2 linked regions of the Oreochromis niloticus genome follow. The protein of the gene in region 2 purifies or fractionates together with the protein of the main gene of each other region. This does not show direct contact. Links are inferred from orthologs where the notes say so. Each region holds a gene or a part of one and is shown on either strand. Other genes may lie near its edges. The genes, in order: pkmyt1 and ccnb2.

Region 1 (8,076 bases), on a different chromosome or scaffold from region 2:
AAATTGATGAGGCCTCCAAGAGCAGATCTCACCGTTGGTAAACTCTGTGGGGAGACTGCCTCGCCTGAGCTGCTGCCACCCCTCGCCACCGTTTGGAACCTCGATATTACAGGCAAGCTCCAGGATGGAAACCCCCAAACTAAATGAAAAGGATGTGATCATATTTAGACACTTATTTCAAATCAGATCAATCACATCTGTACATAATGAATCACATATGTACCTGAAAACATCTGCAGCAGGTCCATACTCCCCACGCAGCAGCTCGGGGGCCATGTATCTGGGATCACCCTCCTGAACATCGTCCTTTGCTTTCTCCCCTGCAGCTCCCATCTGTTTGAGCTCAAGCAGCAGCCCGAAGTCGCCCAACTTCAGACGACCAGAGGTGGTGATGAGGACGTTGGCGGGCTTGAGGTCCAGATGCACGAAGCCATGAGAGTGTAAGTGCTGCAGTGCTGAGAGGAGATCGCACAGGTAGGCCCAAGCAGCAGGCTCGTCTGTTTACAAGCAAAAAACACAAGTCAGCACGAACGAGGATGCAGAAGTTTTATAGAAAATCACAGCTGATACAAACTGTTTTTGGGCAGACCTGGGCCAGGAGGCTGGTTCTCAGCGTGGTGCAGCAAGCTGGTGCTGCACAGCTCTGTCTGGATGTAGAGTCGGCCGCACTCCTCCCAGGCAGCCACGAAGTTCAAAATATGAGGGTGAGGACACAGGCGCTCATGATTCCTGGCTTCCCTGACGCTCCGATTCCTCTCACTGTTACCCCTGAAGCGCTGAGCAGAGCGTTTGACTGCGTACTGACGACCATCTCTGTTGCTTTGCACCTGGAGAGAGAAAAGAAAATATCCAGAAATTACAACTTTTGAAAAAAATGAACAAACAAATACTTAAAATCCTGAATTTTTCAGTTTCCTTGATGTGAAGAAACAGCAACACCAAACACATGATGTTATTATATAACTCTCTTTATTTAAATCTGTGTTTTGCTCACCTTGTAAACTTCTCCAAATGATCCCCTCCCCAGCAGGCCCAAGTTGGTAAAGCACTGATTGAAGTAGGACTGCTGTTTGCTGGGATCATAGCCAGAATTTGGAGATTTACTGAGGGAATTAGACAGGGGTGTCCAGGGGGATTGATGCTGAGGGAACATTCTGCTCAGCGGGGGGCATCCTTTAGACGGTGGCAGCGGGGGCAAAGAATTTGAGAGACGAGCAGGGGAATAGTAGGATGAGTTTGACGTAGACGACGAGGATAAAGGCAGCCGGCGCTTTTTGAGAGAGAAGGACTGCTCCGCGTGGGAGAAGTGGGTTGGAAGAGGGAGAGCCACCCTGGGCACTGTAGTTTCCACCGCCACAGACATCGTGTAGACCTTTTCTGTTCTTTACTATAAAGACAGCAAGCTGCAACAGTCAAGAGGAAAAATTGTAAACGTAAGCAACACATAAAGCAACATATATATAGATGTGGTCAGAATTTTACATACACTCTCTTTTTATAGTTGAATGATTTTACAGCATACATCTTAAGTGACTGTAAAAAAGAAGAATTGGGTAAACGAGTTTGGATTTATTTTAGATTTTCTCTAAGACACACAAGAGTATATTCCGCCACTTATATTTGGTTAAATGTCCCTGAGCAAGTTGCACCTCGATTAGACCCCCTTGGTACCCATCAACAAGCATCTGGCATAATTGTGGTTGGATATCTGACCACTCGTCTTGACAGAATTGACGGAATTCATTTAAATCAGTTGGTTTCCTGGCACAGACTCTGCTTTTAAACCTTGTCAGTACATTTCCTACAGGGTTGATGTCAGAGCTTTGGGAAGGCCATTCAAATGTTCCGTGTTAGCCTGCAAAATCCATTCCAAAACCAGTTTGGATATGTACTTGGGATCATTGACAACACAAGAGAACACATAGGATTACAGAAAATCCCAAATAAATTCAAACTTGTGCACCCAATTCTTGTTTTTTTTTTTGTAATTAAAGATGTTTGCAGCACAATCCTTCCACCCTGGAAAAAAAACAGTTCAAATAAATCATTAAAAGCTCCAAATCAACATGGTATTTGTATGGGTATTTATAAATTTCTCACCACAACTGGAAGTTGATTTTTTTCACACTTAGTGCTCAATTATAATGGTTTCTTTTCATCTAGTTCTATCTCCGCAGAGCAAAAGCAAACGTATTATTTATAAAGACTAAACAAAAAACAAAAAAAAAACTGGGTCTTTGTAGGTTGATCCCCACCCATTTATCACTACACCTGGTACATCTGGTTTGACAGGTTGTAGAGCTTTTGTCTGATATCGGTATCAGCACAGTCCTCTCGATCCATTGATACTAAACCCATTTGTAGGAAAACAGGTATTCCTTGCCCAGCCCAGCCCCTGGCGTCAAGTGGAAAGTAAAGACCCGCTGATAAAACACAACTGATTAATTTTTCCAACATAACTTTTCGCTTTGTTAACGTAACATTACTCGAAGCACAAACACTGTCCATTAATTTATAGCAATGACAACTGTCATCTCAGCTAAACACTTGTGGCTAACGTTAACACCGGGCGGAACAAAACAAACATGACAACACAACCTGCTTAGCTGGCTAACCCGCGTGAAGATAACTTACGCTAACTGACATTTTATACTTAATTATTTAATTAAAGCGGAATTAAACAACGTTACCCCGCAGACCATAGTCCACTTTTGACGACAGGTTTCAAAACAGCGGTCTTCTATCCATCCAAACCCTTCAAGCCTCAACCTACCTCGCGCCAAATTCTGAAACTCTCACGTAGCGCTGCGTAGCTGCTCTCCGTGAATACGGAATGTACGAGTTGCGCATGTACATTGCGCAATATCCGAGAGCGGTGCAGTCTGGGCTTCTGCTGCACAACACAGAGCTGGCGTAACTGGCTAGCTAGCTGACCACTTGAAATGGTAACTTTAATATTATTGCCGATTAGTTTGGGAGAGTCGTACGTAGATCTCGACAATCTATTAACGTTCGGCGATGTGTTCAAACGTATTAACGCGATAATAACAGCGGATACTGTTGGCTATAGAAATGTTAATTTCACTTTTGCTCTGCTAGCTTAGCCTTTAAATCCATAACCAGGGGGTGTAGCTAGCGAGGGAACTTAGCTCGGCTAACCTTGGAAATGCTGTAACGCTAGCTAGCTAATTAACCCAGGCAATATAATGTGGTTAGCTGAGTGTGTACTGTATTTGTCAGACCTATTCCGTGTGTTAGCTAGGGCTGTTTTCCACCGAACTATCAAAACAGTTGACGTGTCGGCTAATATCGCGCTAGCCCAGAGCTACGTTTGCTTCACACTGCTCACTGTTATTTGCTAGCATATAAATAAATGAAGTGACACTTATCAGAATATCTATTACAGAATCCGTTATTAAAGATTATTGTAAAATAACCATTTAAATATCTTCGCGTTTACTGTACAGTCAGGTTAGGTGTTTAAGCAGTTTCCGGATAGACATGCAATATTAACGAGTTTCGTGGCCTAATGAGATGTTTTGTCTAATAAAACGGGGTTATTGTTGGTCATAATATATACTTACCCAAGAACGGCAATCTTTGTGGATAGACGTTCTTAATGTGGAGTAACGTTTCATAGAATCCAGTCCTCAACTTCTTGGTAAATGAGCAAATGTAGCTGGTTTTTACATTGTGTGCCCCCCTTTTTTTCCTTTCAGGACGTGTTCTTAATGATCCGGCGTCACAAGACCACAATCTTCACCGATGCCAAGGAGTCCACTACTGTCTATGAGCTGAAGCGTATTGTCGAGGGAATACTTAAAAGACCACCCGAGGACCAACGACTCTACAAAGTGAGCTTACAGCATTAGAAAGACTAAATGTGCACTTTAATTTTGCCAGAATGTAGCCAGTGTTAATGTTAACATTCACAGTAGTTGAATATTACCCCAACAAACTTCAACCTCATGGTAAATATTGGTAATTATTGACCTATTTCAAAATTACCATTGAATAGCAAATTATTAGAAAAATTTGTGGTTGTGGAAAATCTATTTAGATTCTTTTACCTATGACAGATTTCTGATCCCTTTCAGTCAGGTTTTTAAAAGCTGGCATCTGATGCGGCACATTGTTCTGTGCTCATATTGCTTGATCTCATATAGCTTTTCTAACCTGTGGAGTTCCACAAGGCTCAAACCTGGGTCTATTACATCCTTCCTTTAGCTGGGATCATTCAAATCTTTGAGGGGCATTACTTGTCATTTCCATGCTGAAATGTCTTTTATGCCTCACCAGCTGGATAGACTGTCCACCCTAGCTAATTGTTTATAATGATTTAATGTCTGGCTTTCCAGCAGTTACCTTGTTTTAAACTAAAGTGAGACTGAGACCAGGATTATAACTCCTCCTAAAATATATTCAAGAACCTGTCAAGCGATTGCCTCCTTTTGCTCATCTTTGAAGTCCAGTGTTTGTAATCGCTCTGTAATATTTTATGTCATTTTCCGGTTTCTTTCATTAAAGGAAGATTTCCAAATTGTAAGCTATGGTCTTCCATGCTGGACTGGAGAAAATTATTAATATATTTGTGTCTTCGTGCCTAGATTACTGGAACACCCTATTTACCCACTTAGATTAATCATCTCTTTCATACCTCCAAATGATACAAAATGCTGCATCCAGACTCCTAATGCAGACGTACTCTCTAGTTTTATGCTCTTTACGTCGGCTCCCAGTTGATTTTAGAATTCGTTTTAAAATTCTCATATTTACATACAGAGCACTAAATCAAGCTCAGACTACTAATCTCAGTTTCTCATTAAACACACTGCTTCTCACTGGCTCAAAATATATTACTTGTTCCTCATACAAGATTGAAGACTGGGGTATAGAGCCTTTCAGTCTGTGGCAGCCAAGACTATGGATCAGTCTGTCACTCCAGCTATATTTAGCTCGCTCTATAGACTTCTTGAAAAAGTCATTGAAATGTTTTTTAAGTATTTAGATTGTGTTGTAATATTTTTGGTTTTGTATTGCTATTGAACCATGTTTTAATTTTCTAATATATTTTATTGTGGTTGTTCCCAGTTTTTACTTATTTTCCTGTACAGTAATTTGTAACTCTGTAAATAAACATTGCTTACTTAAATATTTTCTATCAGAAACACGCTCTGCATATTAGTTGGACTATCTTCTTATATTCTGAGGTCATGATATTTTTGTATTACAGGATGATCAGCTGCTAGAGGATAGCAAAACTCTGGGTGACTCTGGATTCACCAACCAGACTGCCAGACCTCAAGCCCCAGCTACAGTCGGTCTGGCATTTCGTATTAATGGTATGTTGTGGTTATGCTGTTTGGTTTTAAAGATCAGAGGTACACTACACAACAAAAATGAGTACATTCCTATGAACCATTGCTTAAATATCTTAATATAAAAATTGTTCTTAGAGTTGAACTGTCATGTATTTACTCTTTATTTAAAATCAGAACAGTTTAGAGTTACAGTGTTAAAGTAGCGGTGTAGTGGATAAGACATGTGAATGACCTGAGGAGACACAAACCCTGCCTCAGGGGCTTGCAAGCTTGTATACTGCCAGTACGAGCCCAGATAAATGGGAGGGTAACGTCAGGGAGGGCATTTGGTATGAAATCTGTTCCAAATCAAACATGTGGCTCCCTCTGCTATGGCGGCCTCTTGGGAAATAAGGGAGCAGTTAAAAGTACCTCAGTTTACTTCATTAAAATACAGGCTTAACTATAGGAACTCACCTATAAGAAACACACCTTTTATTACCAAGATAATTTGAGATGTCCACATTTACATTTGGTGGGTGATACCATTGATCCTTATTTTTATATAAAGATGTTCTTCCTTTCTTTAGAGACAGTTTCTTTAACATGGAGGGCCTGTGTTGTTCTCCTTTTGTCTTAAAAATACCTCAGTAGTGTTTTCTTGGATTTGAGTCAGGCAACATACTTGGCCAGCTCATAGTTTCACTGTTTTCTCCTTAAGGAACTAATGTGTCATGTTGGCAGCCTGCTTTTTTCATGTCAGAAGTGCTGGTGTTTTATGTGAACCTAACAGATTTATTTCCATTTGAGCAAAGAAAGGACTCAAAATATTCGCAAGCAAGCTCTCTCTTTTTATTTCTTTACGGGTGAATCTTGAAGTTTTGTTCTGAAGCGCAAGTAAGGGTTTTTATTTATTCCCCAGGATGTGATGCTTGGAAGTTGACATTGTGCAATGTCCTTCAAACTGTCACAGAAACTTTGCTTTCCTCTGATAAGTCCTGTGCCAAATTAAAGGCATTTTTCCTTTACTTTTGCAGAGTTACATTATATAAATAGTGCACTGGCCCTAGCATCATTCTGGGAAGACAGACACTCAAGCACTGTTGCTTGTACCATCTCCTTATGGCCACATGTGTCTTCAGACTGATTTTTCTGCAGTTCCTTTGTTGATTCATTTCCTTAAAGAGGAATGAAGCAGACACAGCACAAGCATCCATAGTTGAGAAAATCTCATTCTACACAGTTTACTTTTTAACACTGTTACGGACCTACGTATAAAATTTAGTTTCATTCATCACTGATTTTTTAACTTCTGTGTTATCGGTTGCAGGTGGATTCACTTTTCTTGCAATGAGTTTCTACTTTGGGGTGTGGTTTGTGTTTTTTTTAATGTAGTCTTTCTAAAGCAGGGGTGGGGAAACTCCAGGCCTTGAGGGCCAGTGTCCTGCAGGTTTTAGATCTCACCCTGGGTCAACACACCTGAATCAAATGATCAGTTCATTACCAGGGCTCTGGAGAACTTCAAAACATGTTGAAATTTTAGATGTCTTAATTTTAGATGTATCCTTGATCCAACACAGCTGATTCAAATGGTTAAATTGCCTCCTCAACATGTCTTGAAGTTCTCCAGAGCCCTGGTAATGAACTGATTAGGGGTGGGTTTTTATAATCGATTTATCGATTAAAATCGATTCTGGCTTGGATAACGTGAAATCGATTCATTAAAATCCTGAATCGATCTTTTAATATAAATTTATTTTGCCCGAAATTCCAGAATCTCAGGTGAAACCTCAAATTTCAACAACCACCAAACAGCTAAGACAGTAAATGAGAGCAGGTACACGGATTCTGCACAAAGACGTAAACACACAGCGCGACCCGCGGATCAGAATCAGTGAGATGTCGCCTTTCTCACCTGACAGCACGGACACGGTCGGGGCTGAAAGCTGACAGCTCGCTGGTTCTGATCTGTCGGCGGGTCCGCGCTTTGTGTTTACGCCCTTTTTGCGCTGATTCTAAAGCTGTTAGTTTTATCTCTCTCCAAACAATATTGACCGAACCAGCAGCAAAAGAAGATCCAAACTACGCTTCACATAAACATCGTCATGAATTCACTCTTTTACTGTTTTGCTTCCACCACGATAAAATCACACTTCATGCACAGCTCTCTCTCTCGCTCTCGCTCTCTCTCTCTCTCTCTCTCTGTACTTCAAGAACAGTTTCCCGTCTAAAAATCTATTTTCTGCATTATTCGCTTGCTTGTTACGCACAAGTCTACCGTTGTTTACAGCGCTGTCGGCCGCTGTTTTTTTTTTCCTTTTACTTACTTCCGAAAAGAAAACCTAATTTCTGCTGTTCAATACTGAACAAATTTAAACTTTTTAAAATTATGTAAAATGCAAAACGCTTAGCCGTGTCTCTAATAAAACCGCTGTAACGTCAGAGGTAACGTCAGAGGTAACGTTCATATGTTTATTAATGGTTTTCTTTCATTTTTGATGTACTGCAGAATATTGTAACGTTCTCAAGAACCAGACGTTTTGATCTCAGTTTGTCCCTTTATTCAGTGACACAGGCAAACGGGCCGTTAACTCCGGGGAGAGTGCTCTCGTACAACACCTCACTTCAGCCCCGCACAGTCACTCCACACACAGGACCCCCCTCCCCTTCCTGCACACATTAACTCCCTTTTTCCTGCAGCACAACCAAACATGTATCTTAAAGAAACAACAGCGTGCAGAGATAACCAACCTGTCACTGTAACATAACATTTAAC
Region 2 (8,403 bases):
GAGCCCTTTTAGTGAGATGCATGCCAAGAACACAGTCAGGCTTTTTCAGTTGCCTCATCCATATTTTCCTTCTGTCTATGGTGACGTAAAACCAAAAGCAGGTTAGTGTGTTTTTTGCCAAAAATCATAAGACAAAAGTTAAAGTCTAAGAACAATCTAAAACTTTATTTAGATCTCCAACAAGGTACATTACATGCAAACAGATGCAAAACTGTTTGCTGCCCAACAGGCACTTTTAATCATTCAATAGTTAAAATCTTCCACTGGTGGGAAAAAATAAAAAGTTAGAGATGAGAAACTTTGGGACATTTTACTTCACAGAAGCAGTTTGTAGATCCCTCTGGAAGCTGCGCAACAACTTCTCAGCTTTTGCTTAGATAGGCAGTTCAAGGTGCATTAGAAAGAAAAAAAAAAAAAAAAAAAAAGCCAACACAAATGGCTCAAATTCTCAGATCATAAAAAGATGAGTTGAGTCAGAGTACAGCTGCCGCCATGTTCTTGACAATTGAGGATTTGAGCTGAGGAATGAGGCTTATCTTGAGAAGCTTGCTGCTCGAGTACTTTTTCTTCACAGCCTACAGAGACAAAAGCTCAAGGTCAGTTTCTACACACATGATACGAGCTGGTGCGTTTATCCTCAGCCAACTCACCTGGAATTTCGTTTTCCCTTCATTTACCAGCACAACATTTTTGGCAATGTGCTGCATGACGGGCTTCAGGTGGGCCTCGTCATAGGTAGAGTAGTGCTGCTGTGTGGGAGACTGATGGGAGGTCAATTAACAGCCAGCTTGAAGGAGCAAGAGGTTCATAAAAAGTGACTTTAAACTTACCCAGGGTAGGCCGTCCAGCAGCAGCTGGGAGAGGCAGAGGGAAGCAGCAGCGACCTCAGAGGGCCTGTAGTGCACCATATTGTAGTCGAGCAGGGTCAGCTCCATCAGATACTTGGCCAGCGTGTGCCTCTCCACATCAGACTGATAAACATGCACGTCAAGGTTTAAGATTTTTACAGTTTCTCTAACACCTTAGCTGCCATTTTTCTTTAATACAGAGTGATACACATGCAAGTTATCAATTGAAAGTCTTCCAATTCCTACACTGAAGTCTTCTCTGCAATAAATTCATAATGAAACTCACATTTGCCACCTTAGATGCCCGTCTGAGAAAGTGCAGTGGGAGAGGACGCCCCAGCTGAAATTTCAGGCCCTTCAGAACCTGCTGCTCCATCTCGAGAATCTGAGATTTTGTAAAGGCGTTGTCTGTTATGTAGGCAAAGTCACCAACCTCTGGGGCGTACATCTCCTCATACTTGCAGGCCACCAGCATGGAAGTCACACCAACAAGTTGCAGCTTCCTGCGAGACACTGGCTGGACCTGCAGCATACCCAGAAGAAGCCTTTTAGATGCAGTTCACAAATCCATAGACAAGGCTGTTCAGAAACATCACCTGAAGAAAGCGATCCAGAATGGCAACCGTGAGGTACAGAGTCTCCTGCAGCAGCTGGAACCTGGAGTGAACCTGGACCAGCCAGTCGATGAGAAGCGCTCGCATGCCATCAGTGATTTCGTAGCCCTGCATGTAGTTTGCTCGTACCGTCTGCTGCAACTGAGAAGGCAAACTGATGTAAGTCAGAGATGACAGCAGCTGTGTCGGAAGGTAGGGGAAGAAATTACCTCCAGGTTGTGCAGATACTTGTAGATATCCTTCACATATTCTGAACAGAGCTGTGGCTGGTTGGCATCCTCCTCATCCACGTCCTGCACCGCAAGCAGAGCCTCAGAGAAAGCCAGGCACAACTCAGTCTCCTCCTTCATGGACACATCAGTTGCAGATTGCTCCAAAACCAGAGGAAGAGGGTCTGTAGCTGCTTGGACCGGTCGAACCGCTACCTCAGCAGGTTTAGCCGTTTGGACACAAGATGGCTTGGCTGACACTTTTGTCTGTCCTGTTCTCTACGGAAACAAGTTTGGAATCATTACACTTGGAAAATGCAACACGATGCACTAATAAGACTTTCAGATTGGACAGGAATAAAGTTCTGTTCAACTATTTCGACCTTCCCTTTTGCAAACCACTAAGGGGATTTTAGTCTGCTGCAAGGTTCTTGCTTTGGCTCAGGTAAAAGAATTGACGAGGTCTGTGTTCATTGCAAAAGACGTTGATAGATGATGAAGTCTGGGTTGAAAGTCAGCCAGTAAAATGACTTTTAGTCTAGCAGACATACCAATAAATCAGACCTGTATTATATGTCTGAAGGTTCTCAGTCATCCAGGTCATTGTAGTCTAAGGAGCTTGGAAAGAAAAGCGTCTGGACTTCTTTGAGTTGCTTGAAGACGTTTCACCTCTCATCCGAGAAGCTTCTTCAGTTCTAAGGGTCAACGGTGGAGAGTCCCAGATTTAAAAGCTCACCCGAAACCCTGGCTGATTGGGACCCACACCCACTTTCACACCTTAGCTCATGTGATTAGGTAGAGGATCATCAGGGGGTCCTTTGTCCCTCTTTGGGGGGGGAAACTCCCACTGGGTTTAAATCTGAGACTCTCCACCATTGACCCTTAGAACTGAAGAAGCTTCTCGGATGAGAGGTGAAACATCTCCAAGCAACTCAAAGAAGTCCAGACGCTTTTCTTTCCAAGCTCCTTAGACCTGTATTATAAGACTTTCTTGCCTATTTACCAAGTGACTGCAAAACAGACAAACTGAGACAGGAACCAAACCAAGATGCTCTTACCTTTGTGACAGTCACTGCTGCGTTAAAGTTGGTAATCTCTCCGAGAGCTGCTCTCCTCGGACCCGCTGCTGCGGCGGCTTTCCCCGGTTTCTGCCGGTTCTCTGCGGTTAGGAGCTGCTAACGAGACAAACATGCACAATAAAAGGCTTGACCGGTTTTTCTACAGCGTGTTTAACATTACTGAAACGATAGCGTTATTATTGAAGCGCTAGCTTTAACTAGCCAACGCAGCCAACAGCAGCGCTTCTCTAGCAAACAAAAGTCTTTCTACTCACCGCATCACGAACTTCCACAGACATGTTTACCGTGGGCAGCAACGAGGATACAGAGTGACCAAGAACAAGCAAAAGAGCATATATTTCAGACTAACAGAGGGCAATTAACCAACAAAATCCGTAAACAGTTATTTCCGTAGCTAAACAACACAGCGACGAGCAGCTTTCAAATAGTTGTCCTCTAAATCTGATTGGATGTAGCGATTTCGTTCGGACGCTTGTGATTGGCTAATGATTTCAGGTGGGAATTAAAGCCATATGAGCTTTTAAAGTGCTCGGTTACCTTATTTCACAGTCATTGCTTCATTTACAGCAGTGGTTCCCAAACTTTTTTTGCCAGGCCCCCCTTTTTTACAAGAAAAATGTTCGCGCCCCCCCACCACCTAACCACATCCTCCAAACACACACACCCATATTTTGTTCCATTGCGGTTTATTTCACACCTCAAACATTTAGTAAACAACTAAGCAAATACAAGTAAACGGCAATAAATTACAGGTAGTAATAAAATATACTACTAACTCTTTTACGCTGCGTCCACACCTACACGGGTATTTTTGAAAACGCAGCTGTTTCTATGCGTTTGGGCCTTTCGTCAACACGTAAACGGCGATGCGATTCACCGAAAACGGAGATTATTTAAAACTCCTTTTTTGCGTTTACGTGTGGACGAGGAATACAGAGTTCGTCACGCAACCTCAAAGGTATGTGCCTCTTTTCACGTCACGCTGTGCGCCACGTTATTGTTTACATGAGATGAATTGCAGAATGGCAGATAGAGACAAAATACTGTTACTGTTAATCTGACTATCTTCAGGTTTTACACGCTTACATATACACACGTAGTTACTGTCCCTGCATTTAGAAAGGCAGAGGCGTCACGGTGTAATTATTTTACGTGTAGTTGTTTTTTTTCCTGTGTAATAATATTCAACATTGCTGTCAATACATTTTTCAAAAAATGCCTCTCTGTGCAAAATGGGTTCAAAAACATAAACAGCTGTGGGATACCGTTTGTCCGTGATTTGAACGGGGAGAACAAATTACGGCAGGATCAGCCTGATATTATTTGTATCCCACTGTAACTTTACTGTATAAAGAGCTAACATGTCCAAAATGTCAGGAGTAGTTAGTGATTACAAGAAGTGTTTGTGAACTAAAAATCAAGAATGTGGGATCCTGTTTGTCCGTGATTTGGAGAGCCCAGCGCTGCTCCCGACGCAGGGAAACTAATTTTACAGGGGAGACCTACCTCGGCACTTGTGCAGGTGAAGCCAAAGGGAAGATATGCTTCACCATATTTTCTAGTCTTTGGCTTGGAAGGAAGTTGGTTTGGAAACATATTTGGCGATGCTTCATCTCCTGCTCTGCGTTTGTGTGGGAGCCCCGTCAAAAACCTGTCCACAGTGTCCAAGCGCTCTTTTTTTTTTTTCTCCTTTTCATACCGCCCCCCCCTCCCCCTAGGGGGCGGGCCCCACACTTTGGGAACCTCTGCACTATGAAATGCTTTTTTCTCTCTCTTAAACCTTTAAAAGTTCTGATTATTTCTGAATTGGCAAGAAAATATGAAAGACTTTCAAGATGCCTTCAAACTCTTGGACTCCACTGTGTGTTTTCCATGTGGGCCAGGACACATGTTTGACACAGAAATACGTGTATTTTTATTAAATAATAAAGCTGCAACCTAAATTTGTGAACTTCAAATTAGAACCACATTCCTTTAAATCAGCAAAATAAGTGAACTGATGCAGAAGTATTGAATCACCTGCATGTTTACTTTGGCTGGTATTCTTCTGATCTGTCAACCACTGGTATAATGAAATTATCTCCCTATTAGGAGCTTTAACATGAATCCACAGTCACAGCATGCCACAAAGCTGACCAAGTAATCATACAGCACTGCACTCGCTTACTCTTTATTTGAGCATCCCTTAAATCAATTCAAGTCATCTTATAACCACAGATATGAAGAACACATAGTACAAAAATGCAAACCCCTGAAGGACGGCTGAATAACAAAATGCACCTTGCCATGTGGTGTTACTCAAGCCACAAGAACCCATGCAACAGGTTTCAGGGGTTAAATTGTCCCAGTGTGATTTTTTTAAAAGAAAGAAAACAAAAACCAGCTGCTCGAGAGTTTGGTGGCATTTTCAATTCCACTCCTTGATCTCACAGCGTTTCATTAGGCCACAGCTGAAAATGGCCTATGAAAAATGTCCTTTTGTTGAGATGGCACAAAATAAAGAACCCAGATGTTTTAGGGAACTGCTGAATCGATGGGGTTCGAGGTGTGAGCGAAAGGACCAACAGATTCTCTTTGTTCAGTTAGTTATATAAAAAAAACAACCCAAAAACACATCACTTTCGTTCCCATGTGCTCCAAGCACAGCAGGGTATAATGTACCACTAATTTTCTGCAACCCTGAGGCAATTGCTTTTTACTTAAGGGGAGGATGCATCTAGTTTTCCTCTATATCCTTTGTTTCTGCACACATTTAGCTGATACCATTGCCCATGTGGTTTGAGTCTACAGAGGAGGTTCAGGCACTCCTAAATGAGGGTACATTCAATTTAAAAAAAAAAAAAATGTCCACCATACTTTATTAGCTTTTCAAGGTAACTCTTGTATAAGGTGACACAGGTATTGAGAAAGACACAAACCATGTAATGGTTTCTCTTAAAGGTCACCTCTACAACTGAAACAATGAATTCAATGGTTGTTTCTCCTGTTAGGGGTGAAAATTTGATCCAGTTATTAGAAAAGCAAAAGTCCCTTTCACAAATGCACATTTGCATAAAAATGAACTATATTTGAATGACACAACATAGTCACTTTAACAGACCCGTGAGGTAAAAGGTCAAACACACAGTTTGAGTGGTATATCACACACTGCTGATCAGCAGGATAAAGTGTATGAAACAACAAGCTGAACTCAGTTCTACTCAGTATTCATTTGATCTCTTTATAAGCTTGTTGGTGCAGCGCTCCACAACAGTCCTAGTTTCTTAAGTGGCCTCTGAAATGTAAATGTTTTAAATCCTTCCTCCTGGGGTATCCTAATGAAGCTGTCCCGAAGATTCATGGTGGAAAAAACATTTAATGCTGGTGTTCCCCATTAATCTGCTAGCCACCCATTTAGCATCTTTAATTCATGAAAGCACTAACTGTTAAAAAAATGCTTTAATACTTGAACAAATGGCAGTATCACAGAGTTTCAAGAAAAACATATAGAGACACTGCTAACAGAGGCTGCACCGCCACATCATCAAAATCCCACTTTATTACCTGTTGCTTTGATTTTACTGTTGTAAAAGACGGCCAAACTCCAACAGAGCAAGAACAAAGTCATGTCCGGTGGTGGTTTTCTCTCATGTTGCAAGGTTATGGAATGTAAATGTAACTGTTACGTAAATGGACAAAACACAATCCACACACACACGTCGGTTTCCTGAACCAAAATAGGATGAAGAGGAGACACAGAATGAACCTCTGGCCTTATTATTTATTCTATAGTTCTTTCCTGCGGTGTGGATGGATTGGCTGAATGGCAGAATCAGTTGCCATTTTGGTTCATCTGTAGATACTCGTTGTGTAACTTTTCTTGGGTCTCATAGAGCTTGCGGAGCTTCTTGGCTTGACCTTTGCTGAGCTCCTTCCCTTCAACGTCATGAGTGGGGAAACCCTGTTAACAGCAACAAAACCAAACACACCTTTAAAGCTTTTCAGGTTGACACAGTTTGTGAGCTGTCGTTTCCATGGTAACTTTACAGAAAAAAATAAAAACATAAACAGCCTTTAAATTACCTTTCTGAATTTTCCTCAAGTTCTGACATACACACAGCTACACTGAATACGGAGTCATTTCAAATAAGGACATTCATGTCTGTACAAGCAAATCCCTGTGAGCTGGGTCTTTCCTACTCTTGGATCCGTATCACATCATTGAGCGCAGGTACACCTGATCTCAGGCACACGTCTTGCTGTGAGCACCGAAGCCCCACTTTTATTGCTGTAACTTCATGATTTTGTGGCGTGGGGTCGTTGGCCCCATGACCACCTCACAACCTGGAGAACCAGGTGCTAATCTTTGTCTTTGCTTTCTTAGACATCCCAGGTTTTAAGCCCTCAGCAACAGATCTCTGAGGTCATCGGGGCCCACGAGCCTCACCACCAGCATGGGACCAGCTTATGAAAAATTAAGCATGGGAGGTAAAATAAGGATTTACCGTTTCATCAAATTTTGAGTATTTGTCTGTTTCACTGCGAAACATTTCACTTGCAGGGATCTTCATCTTGGCCAGTTTCGCCATCTGAAACAGTAACAGAAACATGAAGATTTTCCTGATGACACAAACGTAGAAGGTCACTGTCTATATAAAACCATCAGACTGACCTCTTGCTCCTGTTTCTTCTTAGCAGCCTCTAGCTTCTTCATTTTCTTCTCTTCTTCCATCTGTGAAAGATGGAATTTTATTGTGTGAAATGTTTTAAAACACATGTTGTTTGCATATTTGAAAAGATAAAAACTTTTAACATAAAAACAAAGGCTTGTAGTGGACTTGTGTTATAATTGTAAATCAACTAAGAATTTCTTTTGTCTGAACAAACTAGCTGTTAGATGTTGAAATCCCTGTCCTTATATCCATGGTAACTCAGCGTCCTCTAGTTTTGGGAGGGGGCACTTATTTTTTCTGGCTTATCATTTACTTTAAATTGGGATAAATTATCTCCTGTCAATCTTAAGCATACACTTCCCAGTTAGAAGTACCTAAACTGCTCCAGACATGCACTCGATGTGTGATGATGTCTTCTCTTACCCTCTTCTTCTCCTCTCTCTCCTTCAGTAATGTCTCCTTGTCCACTAGTTTCACCACAGTGGGCAGGCCTGCAACACAACCACTTTATTTTTCAACACTCTTCACTTTGTAATAACGAAACAAGGTCAGAACTTCTTTACATTCTTACTAAGAGAGCAAAGGCTCGGATTTATTGAGCAGGGCATCTTAATGCGCTGCAGTTATAAAGATGTGATGAATGGAGTGGATAATGATTTCGCGACACAGACGTAGCCAGTTTATTCCAGTAATAACTAACCCAGTCCACAGAGAGCTGCGCAAACGAAGCAGACCTGAAGAGGGAGATCAAAACCTGAGCTGCTTCTTTATAACTTCAAACACAGACATCTTACCTTCGTGATCTTCCAGACGTACTCCAAGCTCTGGCAACATGTCGTCACGCACAACATCGCAGAGCTGCAGCAGCTCTGTCACTGAATAAGTAAGCAAAGAAAAAAGAAGAAGAAGAATTTCATGTTTCAGTTCTGATTCCACATGGAGGTGATATTTTGAGTTATGAAGTAAACACAGTTTTGTTTAAAACGCGTGTTCTTACCTTT

What was found.
Region 1: the proteins of ccnb2 (region 2) and pkmyt1 purify together in Homo sapiens (affinity purification with mass spectrometry; 4 studies listed by BioGRID and IntAct, with this or other methods). This does not show direct contact. The link is inferred for Oreochromis niloticus from reciprocal best matches to the Homo sapiens genes CCNB2 and PKMYT1.

What each region holds. Positions count from the first base shown.
Region 1 is NC_031973.2:16,346,199-16,354,274, forward strand, and holds the start of pkmyt1 (membrane-associated tyrosine- and threonine-specific cdc2-inhibitory kinase), read right to left. Parts: upstream 3,695-8,076; 5' UTR 3,585-3,694; intron 2,946-3,584; coding exon of another isoform or gene 2,943-2,945; exon of another isoform or gene 2,691-2,942; intron 2,396-2,690; exon of another isoform or gene 2,101-2,395; intron 1,534-2,100; exon of another isoform or gene 1,487-1,533; intron 1,404-1,486; 5' UTR 1,364-1,403; coding exon 995-1,363; intron 828-994; coding exon 590-827; intron 498-589; coding exon 224-497; intron 140-223; coding exon 33-139; intron 1-32. Other genes in the region: elongin-B, read left to right, coding at 2,943-2,945, 3,720-3,854, 5,234-5,342. UniProt on the Homo sapiens protein: Acts as a negative regulator of entry into mitosis (G2 to M transition) by phosphorylation of the CDK1 kinase specifically when CDK1 is complexed to cyclins. Mediates phosphorylation of CDK1 predominantly on 'Thr-14'. Also involved in Golgi fragmentation.
Region 2 is NC_031965.2:3,388,355-3,396,757, forward strand, and holds ccnb2 (G2/mitotic-specific cyclin-B2), read right to left. Parts: upstream 3,197-8,403; 5' UTR 3,029-3,196; coding exon 3,005-3,028; intron 2,847-3,004; coding exon 2,730-2,846; intron 1,951-2,729; coding exon 1,672-1,950; intron 1,604-1,671; coding exon 1,445-1,603; intron 1,372-1,444; coding exon 1,135-1,371; intron 972-1,134; coding exon 831-971; intron 762-830; coding exon 651-761; intron 576-650; coding exon 474-575; 3' UTR 139-473; downstream 1-138. Other genes in the region: cars1 (cysteine--tRNA ligase, cytoplasmic), read right to left, coding at 6,562-6,690, 7,235-7,318, 7,402-7,461, 7,826-7,893, 8,197-8,277, 8,400-8,403. UniProt on the Homo sapiens protein: Essential for the control of the cell cycle at the G2/M (mitosis) transition.